Linked DNA regions of Nothobranchius furzeri. The protein of the gene in region 2 binds, or shares a complex with, the protein of the main gene of each other region. Links are inferred from orthologs where the notes say so. Each region holds a gene or a part of one and is shown on either strand. Other genes may lie near its edges.

Region 1 (5,052 bases), on a different chromosome or scaffold from region 2:
AATTTAGCATCAAACCATTTCTGGCTTTGGAGCACCGTGATGGTGTCTTAGGATTAGTAACTTTGTTAAAACAAGCCACATCCAGTCCTATACATGTAAACTTGCTAATTTTATTTCCTTTTTACTGTTATATAATTACATAATTAAACTAGTTCAGTTTAAAAAACCTGTTTGTATTTTTTCATATTTGAGGCATAAAATTATCTCGGATTTACCTTCTTTAATAAGGAACTTACTGACAATAACATCAAATGAATGACTTTCAAAAGAAAATCCTCAAAAGTCTAATTTATTATTTTATGAACCAGTGCAGTTTTAGTTCTACATTTACAAGAGTCCTTTCTCATTTCCTGGTAACTGATGCACTGCCTAGCCAAAAGAAAAGTCACCACCTAAAAAAGTCACGCTCATACTTTGTTGGACCACCGTTAGCGTTGATTACGCTATTAAGCAGATTAAGCTTCTGCAATGCCATAAGATTTATTTTCATCCATTAATCCATTCATCCATTGCATTAATTGTTAACCAAGATCTCACATTGATGAAGGAGCTTTTTTATTAACATACAACATCACACAGACTCCAAAAATGGCTCCTATGATAATCGGATTTCTTTATTTAAAGCACATTCAAGCAAAACTCGCTCCAGCTCATACATTCAAAGTAAACTCGTGTTTCTGTGTAACTGTAAGCATTATTATAAATACCATAAATAACAATAAAGGAATGTATTTAAATAAATAAATATTCTTTTAGACTGCTTTCTCTCTGTTTTCCGGTACCTGATCACACAACAAGAGTTTACATTTGATATTCTGTAGAATTTATTTACCCTGTAGTCATTTTCTTTCAAGTCATTTATCAGATCAAACTGCAAATAAGTCATAATGATGATTTGAGAGTATGTTCAACTCTTAAAATATACTTAAGATTGTATAACAAAGACATTTAAACTATAACTCTAGTCATTTCTACTCTACTTTAATTATATATTTATTTTTAGTGATGCCTGTCTGGTTTGACAGCAGGCCGCTCAGTTCTCCAGAGGTAGGAAAAATCAGGCTTCTGTCTTGGAAACATCATTGTGGGTTTGTCAGACCAACCGAGAAAGAGAGGAATAATTTCCATCCTGTTTGATATTCCAGCATTTTGGATGAATGCTCAGATGCCAAAGATGCAGAAGCTTTTCTAAAATTGATTACTCTCTTTAAGGTCTGATGATGGAAGAGAACGTATTTAGTTGCTTTTTAGATTTAAGACAGAAGAAAATGTGCAAAAAAGGTTACAAGTCAATACAAACCACCGATTTTACCCAAAAAAAAAAATATATATATATTCAGCTTTTCAGATGGATGTTTGGACTAAACTGTTAAATTGGACTCAGGCAGAGCACATTAACTCTAAAATCATCCATGGTGCCGAGATCAGACCGTGGTCCCGGTGCTCCGAGCGCCGCCTTGCCTGGATAAGTTCACGTTCCAGGGGTCGTGTGGAGCCAGCGGCGTCTCCCGGGAAACGTTTCTTCCATCATCCCCGACTTCTGTTTCCGTCTCCAACTCTACCTCCACATCCAGGTCGATGTCGTCCTCCTGTGCCGCCCTGGAGTCCAACTCGTCCTCAGGCTGCCAAATCAAGACGTTGTGTGGGTCTGTTGGGTCCGCAACCCGAGTCCTCTTGTCTCTGTGCAGCAAAAGGCGCTGCAGCGGCACCGTGTTCTTCTTGGGCAGAAAGAGGGAGGTCTGCGGCAGGTTCTGACCCGCAGAGTAAAGCTGCCGGGAGCCCTCCAGGTTTAACAGGATCCCGGTTAGAGTAGAATAGTAGACGTCCCGGTTGTTCTCCAGAAGCCTGTGGTAGAACAGACAGGAGTCCCTCTGGCAGATGGGCTAAAAGAGGAAAAGAAAGCCATCAAACCCCAGCTGATCGATGTTTGCTGACTTTTATTTAGGCGGAAAAAATGCCTTGAATTTATTTTTATTCAATTTTCAGATGCCAATAAATCCAACCGACGTTTTAAATAAAGGAATCCTGTGCGTAAAAGTTGTGCGTAAAACTCCACAATGACACCAGAAACAAACTCGTGGTTTGATAAATCGACTAAAATTACATGCGAGCTTTCAACTGAAGTATTTTAAAGATGAATAAGCAGCAAACTAAAGAAATTAAGTGTTATTTAGAAAATAAACTGCGGTGCGCATGCGTAAAAGTAGCACAGCCAGATGCGTAAAAGCACATAGGACCGATAAACAAACTCAGAATAAGGTTTTAGGCTGGAAATTTGAAAATAACTTTGAAACACCTACCGAGCTGAACAGAATCCCCTCCTGATCCATACACAGGTAACGGTTGCTTTTGACACCGAAGATGGCCACGTGCTCCCTTGTTTCAGCTTTCATTAGAATTACACCTGCGAGAGAAAAAAAACACTTTTAGCAGCCTGACCTTGGTCTATAAACCTACATTATTTTCATCCAAATATCAACTTACTGAATGCAGATCTGGCTGTAGTTTTGCCCACAGACCCGTCTAATCTGATCTCCAGGTAGAAGTTGTTGAGTTCTGTGGAGGTCTGCAGGTGAACGTATCTCCTCGGGTTCCCCCAGTTGGATCCAACTAACGGAGACGGATTCGGTGCCGCTTCCCCGACAGGAAGTCCCTGCAGGACAGCGAGTAAGAGCGTCAGCATCGTGTCTCTCATCCCCAGTCGCTTGTTGACGTCCATCCTGGATCAAACCGCTGGTTTGGACTGCTGGAAGCGCTCGGATGCTCTGTTGTGCCACAGTTTGGTGACAGTACCTATTTAAAGCCCATCTGAGCGCCACTCCTGCGCACATCCTTTGCGCGGAAAAAAAGAAAAGAAAAAGAAACTCGCCCCCAAAGCAGAGGTGCGGGTTTCAGCAGCGGAAGGACCACTTCCACCTCTCTGTTTATTTCATGATCTTGGTTAAAAATCAAGACTTTTATTTTTGGGTTCTCTTCTTGACTCATCCACCGTTTCTTATTAAACCACCGCTTCAGGTTTTAGTTCGGAGTGCAGGAAGCTGCATTGTGTAATATTTCAAAAGGAAAAAAAAAACCTCTAAAGGCTTTTCATCACATCGCGGATTATTTCCCCAACCAAGAGTGACAGCTCTATAATTAAAGAGTTAAAATAGTTGTTTATGCCAGCTCTGCTTTTTCTGCACACCTGCACTCATCCACGTTTCCACTTTTTACCCAGCAGATGGCGACACTTCCTTGTTGGGAGGAAAGCAAACAGACGCATCTTTTACAGAAAGCTGCCACACTGGAAACCTAACTGCGTTTAGTCTGTTCCCCTCTTATAAACGGTTCATTCATGCAGGAAATTATTATGGTGACAAGTTATAATTCATGGAATAAGTCAGAAAGATTTTTTAATCTGTTAATTAACCTTACATTTGTTTTGTAAATTAGGGACAGGACTTGATTTAAAAATTATTTTGTTGTAAATTTTATGTTTGGCATGTATTTTGGGGTCTTTGTTGTTTTAAAAATTTAAACTAATATTTTGTGTTTGAAATGTTTTAATTTTTCATGATTTAAAAATGTGGAACACTAAAAACCAATTTTTAATGATTATTTCTGATTATAATGGGTCACTCTGAGTTTTTCATGCAGGCTGAACATGAAAATAGTCTCCTACACCTATCTCCTGCATCAGTTTCTGATAGAAAAGAGATGTGAAACTGCCAGATCTGCATCACACTGTCACTCAACATTCATGGACTCACCCGTGGATCACTACCACCTCTCTACCTTTGACTCTGAACGAAGCAGTACAAGTGCAGGTCGTTATCGTTTACAAGTTCCTGGAAATGGTGCAACGGTCAGTTTTTCCTCCCCAGAGTACAACTTGGATTAATTCCTAGAGACCACTACAAATGTATTTATTAAATGAGTGACTCACATCTTTCAGTTCAAGGTCAGCAAATCCAGTTAAACCACAGAAACAACAAACTCCCAGCAGCCAGTTAAAAAAAGAAAAACAAACTTTTATTATTTGGTATTTCAGGAATATACAGTAGACTGCTGTGCACAGCACATACGTACAAAAATAAAAGGAACAAAACTTTACTTAGCATCGTCTGTTATCAGAAACATGTAACTAAAATTTGTTTCGTCTCATTTTACAGAGATTAGCAAACCAAAACTAAGGCAGAAGGTGAGGTATATGAGAACAGAGGAGAGGAATAGAGTGGAGGCTCAGTCCAAAAAGTAAAAATAACACATGAAGAACACACACCCTAGTCAAGCTCTGGACTCAGGCATGCTGATATACATTCAAACATCAAAGAAGTTATTCCTCACCTTGACTTATTGAAATCTGACCTAGGATAAGCTGTGGAAAGGAGAATCAAATATATAATCAAGACGTCCTAAATAAGGTGCAAAACCAGACATCTTGGAGAGGTGACATGAGCAGTGGCGTGTCCAGATCTTTTAAAATGGGGTGGCCCAGGTGAGGCACAACTTTGTGCATGGGTGGCACCAATGGTTATGCTTTTCTTGTTTTACCCCCAAGCCTTTTGTGGACAATGAAAAGCCTAACTAAAGGTAAATTAATGTGGTGGCACCTGGGGTGGCCAATCAGATTCCAAGGGTGGTATGTGCTACCCCAGGCCACTCCCTGGACACGCCTCTGGACATGAGCAAATGAAGTCCTCATTAGCGTGCATTCACGATGTTTACTTCCACACAGTATACAGCTTTCAAAATAAAGAGCATTTTCATGTAACTCATAGTTAAAAATGTACATTAGTGCTTTTACATGCAGCCTCAACAGCAGCTTTTGTTTGCTTTTAAGATTTGGCATCGCTGCGTAGCCGTTGTGCTTGCATAAACGGAGACAAGGCGAGCAGCGTGTGATAGCGTCAGCATGTGGGGTTGTGGGGTCAGGACTGACGCTGGTATCACAGGGGAGGCCTGCAGCGGCAGAGGTGAGGTTCAGATCTGCGTGGCTCAGCTCATCGTTCACCGCGTGAACTCTGCAGAAGTCTCCTCCTTAGAAATATCCCAAATCCAGCACTTCTTAAA
Region 2 (5,580 bases):
ACAAAGTATAAAGTATAAATATTGTATAAAGTATAAAAATGGTAATATATATATATATATATATATATATATATATTTATATACATATATATATATATATTGGAGATTAAAAAAATACAGGATTTGAATATTTACATAAATATAATCTGTTGGTTTGTTCATATAGTTGACACTTGTCAGTCAGAAGAAGAAGAAGAAGAAGAAGAAGAAGAGGAGCATCAAGGAAAAATATTAAGTTCAAATAATTTGAGTCAGTTTGATGTTTTTAGAAGAACAAAGATTTTTTTATAGTGCTTTCAACATGAAACTCACAAGGCACTTCACAAACACAATAAAACAATCTAAACCTTTACTGTGATATGATGTAGGCAACACGTCGGTTATTCATTTTTTACAAGCACATCTCGCACAGCTCCATGCAGTTTCACTTCACCGCTGCTTAGCATTAGCCAGTAGAATTAGACATCGGCTTACGTACAGATGCAGTGAAGCATTTACCTTGGACCTGCTTTTCAACAACAGAAGGGTCTCTGCGTTCAACTCGGATGTTGAATAGATGCAGAGTTGGTGAACTTCTTTATAGACAAGTAAGTCTTTAAATTATGAAGTAATAAACAGCATAACATGAGAACAGTAACTATGTGTGTTCACGAATGAGAGGCATCGTTTCCAGCAGTATTACAGAAACAGGGAGATGCTCTGGGTGGTGCCATCTGAGAGAAACCTCAGGATTTCTGCTTGGACACCAAAACGTGTTGGCCCTCACATGTACCTGTAAAAGGTGGCGGACGTTTTTGGCTCCCTCTTCATGTCAGGAGTGTTGAAGTCGACGTAGTAAAGTCCACGTCGGATGCCGTACTCTCTGTGCCACTCAAAGCCGTCCATCAGGGACCAGGCTGTGTATCCAATCACATTCACTCCATCAACGACGATCGCTGGACGACAAACACATTCACACAGGCTTTAGTTTGACCTCAGAGACGTCTGACGAGACAGTTCGATGAGTTTGGTGGAATCCGATGGACCCACATTTAAGTGTCTCTGCAATGAACCTCTTGAGGTAGTACATTTGTTTCGGATCTTCCGTTTTGGTGTTACCGAGGACATACCTGGAAAACAAACGCAAGTTCAACACAAACCCAAACTAAAACGGATATGTCCGTGTGCTAACCTACCAACCGCTTTGCATCACAAAGATGGGTGGCTTGTCATACTCTTCGTTGACCCAGTAGAGCAGCATCCTCAGGTCCAGATCTTCCAGCTGCCCAAACTTCAGGCTGTCGTTGATGAGTTGGAAGCTCAGGGTAGCTCCATGGGAGAGGGCGAAGAAATCAGCTGTTCCTCTGACCTGCTCCCTCTCCTCCTGGGTAAAGGAGGGGAGCCGTGAACCCAGCCTCTCCTTCATGCAGGCTGGATAGTCTCCATCTACAAACAGCGGCTGTGCAAACCAGCCCAGGACATGGTCCAGGGAACACTGGCACTCCCGCAGGCTTTCCAGGCGAGTACGGCTGGGCTTGATCCAGTGGGAGGCCAGAGCCATGGAGACCTTCCCGTGCTGCCGAGGCCGATAGCGGCGGTTGTAGAGGTGCCATGCAGCTGCATGGGCCTGCAGCAGAGACAAGAGAGATACATAAAGAATAAACTTTTACATGCAGGTCAAAAAGTTAAAAAAAAAGTTCTGTGTGCATAATAAATTACACTGTAAAATCTGAATGGTTATTTTTACTTGGAAAAAAAAGCATGAAAATGACAGAAAAGATTGGAGCCCCAGTGGCCTCCCTGCTGAATAAGTGCAGATTTTTTTGTGTTAATGTAGCCTAATATGAGATGTGGGGAGAAAAAGCATGTGAATGCAATTATATGGGGGTTGGGGTTAGTTGAAAAGAGATGTTAAGATAAACACTTTGATGTTTTTTCTGATGCAGATTACCAAGACGTTAATGTAGTTTTGCAAAATAGTTAAATTTGGAAAGGTATTGAAAAGCTGTTGTATCTAAAGCAACCATGAATTATTATGTTGTTGGAATTACACACACATTTTTGAAATACTTAAAGGCACATTTTTTTATTATTATTTTTTTTCATACAGATGTACCTCTCCAACAAAGCAGTCGGGCCCCCCTGTAATGTAAATGTAGAACCGCCCCTGGCCATATTTTAGTGCTTTTTACTATTTTAATGGGAAAAAAATCATAGTAATAAACATTTTTTTTTGTAATTTATTTTCAAGATACTAAATGGAAGGAAAATTGAATAAAAAATTAGATTTTTGAACAGATACTTTTTGTGACTAATAAAAAAACAGCACATTTTTTAAATCAATACCCACCTTAAGTAAGTTATGTCCCACTCGGAGAGGGAGATCAGGGTCGTTCTTGATCCCAGGAGCGACCACCCCGGTTCCGTAGCCATACTGCGCCACCACAAACGGGTTATCTATGGTGATCCAGAACTTCACATCATTCCCAAACGCATGGAAGCAAAAATCTGCGTAATCCTCAAATATCCCCACGATCTCTGGGTTGCTCCAGCCGCCCAGGGTCTGCTGCAGCTGCTCGGGCAGGTCCCAGTGATGAAGCGTGACCACCGGCTGGACTCGGACCTCCTTCAGCCTCCTGATGAGCGTCCGGTAGTAGCTGGTGCCGATGTCGTTATAACTCCCGCGCGTCCCGTTCGGAAATATCCTGGACCAGGACAAGGAGAACCTGTAGTGGGTCACCCCGAGCTGGCGGATGGCCCGGATGTCCGCGTGGATGTTGTGGTAGCTGTCGCTGCCCACGTCCCCGGTGGCCATGCGGTTCCCTCCGCGCGTAAAAGTGTCCCAGATGGAGAGCCCTTTGCCGTCCTTCTCAAACGCGCCCTCCACCTGGTACGCCGCTGTGCCCACGGCCCATATGAAGTCCCCGGGGAACGTGTCGTAGAGAAAAGCCTTGTCTCCCGGATAGGGAAGTTTACTGAAGCGGCTCCACGTCTTCAGACCCGCATTGGGCTTTGCGCCAACAGCAGCGAAGGCCACAAATGTGAGAACAGCGACAAACCCCTTCATGGTTGGTTTTCTTACTGGCCGTGGAAGTCCGGGTCCTCAGCTGGCTCACACTCCACCATGCTTGGTGGCTTTTTGGTGACTAACCAGACCTCTGCGACGCGCGAGCAGCCAGCTGTGAACCTGTCAATCATTAACCAAAGCACCTGACGCAGGAAGGGCTCAGGGCACAAGACGTTAAGGCTCCCACAAAGACAAAATAAGGCACGATCACTTTATTTTATTCTATTCTGCTCATATTGAGCCTTTAATCTCAGTCTAATCTCCTGGAGAGCAGGTGCCAAAGCCTCTAATGTGAACCCATCAACAGATCATAGCTTTAATCCATCTGCAAAACATGTATAACTAAATCTACATTCCTAATCTCATCAGAGACAATGTGATGAGTCAGATGGTTGCTAGGGAACACAAACCCATCCCAGGTTATCACAGCATCAGTATAAATACCTGAGGTGGTGGGTATGTCTTAGAATAAAAAAGTGGTTCTTTCTCTGAGAGGCCATAGTCATTTACATCTAATTAGACTTTTTGAATATTTGGAGCCAACTGTGTTCAAATATGTTGTTTATGCTATTAAAGTGTATAATCAAACCACTCCTCAGACGTCCAGCTCTGCTCATCGTTTAGCGAATTTGCCCTGCAGGCTCTGTCACGGATCACAAACGGGAAGAACACGGGAGTGTTTTTCCATCGGACGCACTGGAGCGTTTGTGCATAAGCGACGTGGAGCAGGAGCAGCCCCATTTACAGCACGGGAAGAGGATTATTAAGGGATGCTGGGCAGCCCGAGGACAGCGCGTGACTCCGACAGATGCCGCAGTTGGATCTGAAGAACTAGAACGTCTGTTTTCAGTCTGAAAAACTAAACGTTTCAAACCAAATAAAGAGGAAGCGAGCAGGTCTGGTTTTATAGAGAATTATATTGTTACAACAGAGGGTCTGACTGGGTGGATGTGAAGCCAAATTAACCAGCAGTGACACAAACGACGTTCCTCTAGCAGTGAGTACAAATCTAACCAAATAAATCAGATGCACACTACAGTCATAACCAGAAGCAACTCTACAATTGCTTTTTTTTTGTTTGTTTTTAAAGTTTTCAATAATGGTAAAAAAGAAGAAGAAATGTTTTAATATACAGAGGTGTAAACAAAATCATTCCAATAAAAGGTAAAATGACACAATTAACACAGAAAAAGTTGATGGTGATCGGTCTTTTTTTTTTTTTAGCTTTTAATAATAACGGCAGAACCCAAAAGGCTTTACAGCACCTCCCCAGTCAGCATCAAACACAACAACAGAACAACAAACAGACAGAGGAGACTATTTACAAACCATATTGTTTTTGTTTTTCATGTTAAGATGAGTTCTACCTAACGTGGCGAACATGATCACAATGCAACACGAAGCGACGAGCCACAGCTGACCATGCGGACGCTCTGATGTGGTGTGCATGTGGTAAATGCAAGTGTGTAACAGCGGGAACATCGGCATATGAAAAGTTTAAAAAGTTCAAAGTTCATGGGTTTTTTTTCCTTTCCTGAAACGGTTTCCTTGACGACAGAAGAATCGTTGTGTTTTGTTTTTTAAATTTTACTCCAAAGCTCATCTTCTGCGTCCTGCTGTCTTCTTACGACCCTGAAAGACAATAAAAAAAAAAAAAGACATTTTACTTGCGATTAATCGCAAATTAATTACAGATTATAAAAGTACGGTAACGTGATCTTTTTCATGTATGAGCAGACAAATACACCGATTCTATAAGAAAACATATTTGTTATTGCAACAATCCAGTAAAATGACAAATATTGTCCAGAATGTTCTTTTTCGATGAACACAAATCTAACTAGCGCGTCGTCTTTTATTGAGAAAGTACCGGATGTTCTCCTCCACCCCGGTGTCTACCTTCCTGTTCCCTTCGTGTCCGCCTGACACCATTTCCTTGTTTGTCCTCCGGGTTCTACCTGAGTTTTTATTACACCGACTAGGCAGTAGCGAATAGAAAAATAAAAAAGTTAAGTTAAGGATAGATCTTACAAATTGTTTTAATCATAAACGACACAAAAAAATCTGTTTTACAGCAGCAACCCTTACTTCTATAAATGTTTCCTGCTCTGATGAGTGAGAATATGAAGCCGAGTGCAGCCATTCAGGGCATTCAGACGGAAATAATGGAACACACTAGGGCTGCAACTAACGACTATTTTAATAGTTTACTAGTCACCGACTACTGAAACGATTAGTCGACTAATCGGATAATTATGAAAATTTTTTCAAATTTAGTATGAGATTGCTTTAATTGTGTGAAAAATGATAATAAACACAAGAAAGATGGGTACTTCAATGGAAAATGTATATTTTATTGAACGTTGCTGCTGATAGATAGGCCAATTCATACTAACAGTAGATAAAATGCCCTGTCTAACACCAATTAGGCACAGTGTCCAGTCAGTACAGACATAAATGCATAAATAAAATTAAAATACTTTTGTCAGGCACAGTCGGGCATAACATTAAATCTCTCTTTTTTAAAAGCGAAA

The links. Proteins that work in one complex are often made in the same cells at the same time.
Region 1: the proteins of kl (region 2) and fgf23 are in contact, whole or in part, in a cryo-EM structure (PDB 7YSH), measured with the Homo sapiens proteins. The link is inferred for Nothobranchius furzeri from reciprocal best matches to the Homo sapiens genes KL and FGF23. Residues at the interface, in NP_004786.2 of Homo sapiens: Phe377, Lys385, Leu389, Glu390, Pro392, Trp417, Phe418, Ser420, Lys429, Tyr432, Tyr433, Lys436, Phe437, Arg468, Ser471, Ile472, Arg556, Arg693, Asn694, Met695, Thr696, Tyr697, Ile735, Val752, Phe755, Asp756, Asn782, Asn783, Leu785, Ile812; in NP_065689.1 of Homo sapiens: Leu39, Met74, Ala80, Val88, Arg91, Leu166, Ile167, Phe169, Asn170, Ile173, Arg175, His177, Asp184, Ser185, Glu186, Arg187, Asp188, Pro189, Leu190, Asn191, Val192, Leu193, Lys194, Pro195, Arg196, Ala197, Arg198, Met199, Thr200, Pro201.

Annotation. Positions count from the first base shown.
Region 1 is NC_091741.1:43,105,266-43,110,317, forward strand, and holds fgf23 (fibroblast growth factor 23), read right to left. Parts: upstream 2,884-5,052; 5' UTR 2,720-2,883; coding exon 2,485-2,719; intron 2,405-2,484; coding exon 2,301-2,404; intron 1,884-2,300; coding exon 1,425-1,883; 3' UTR 1,305-1,424; downstream 1-1,304. UniProt on the Homo sapiens protein: Regulator of phosphate homeostasis. Inhibits renal tubular phosphate transport by reducing SLC34A1 levels. Up-regulates EGR1 expression in the presence of KL. Acts directly on the parathyroid to decrease PTH secretion. Regulator of vitamin-D metabolism.
Region 2 is NC_091750.1:61,952,052-61,957,631, forward strand, and holds the start of kl (klotho), read right to left. Parts: upstream 3,788-5,580; 5' UTR 3,047-3,787; coding exon 2,330-3,046; intron 1,607-2,329; coding exon 1,176-1,606; intron 1,110-1,175; coding exon 1,030-1,109; intron 936-1,029; coding exon 773-935; intron 1-772. Other genes in the region: pds5b (sister chromatid cohesion protein PDS5 homolog B), read right to left, coding at 4,646-4,678. UniProt on the Homo sapiens protein: May have weak glycosidase activity towards glucuronylated steroids. However, it lacks essential active site Glu residues at positions 239 and 872, suggesting it may be inactive as a glycosidase in vivo.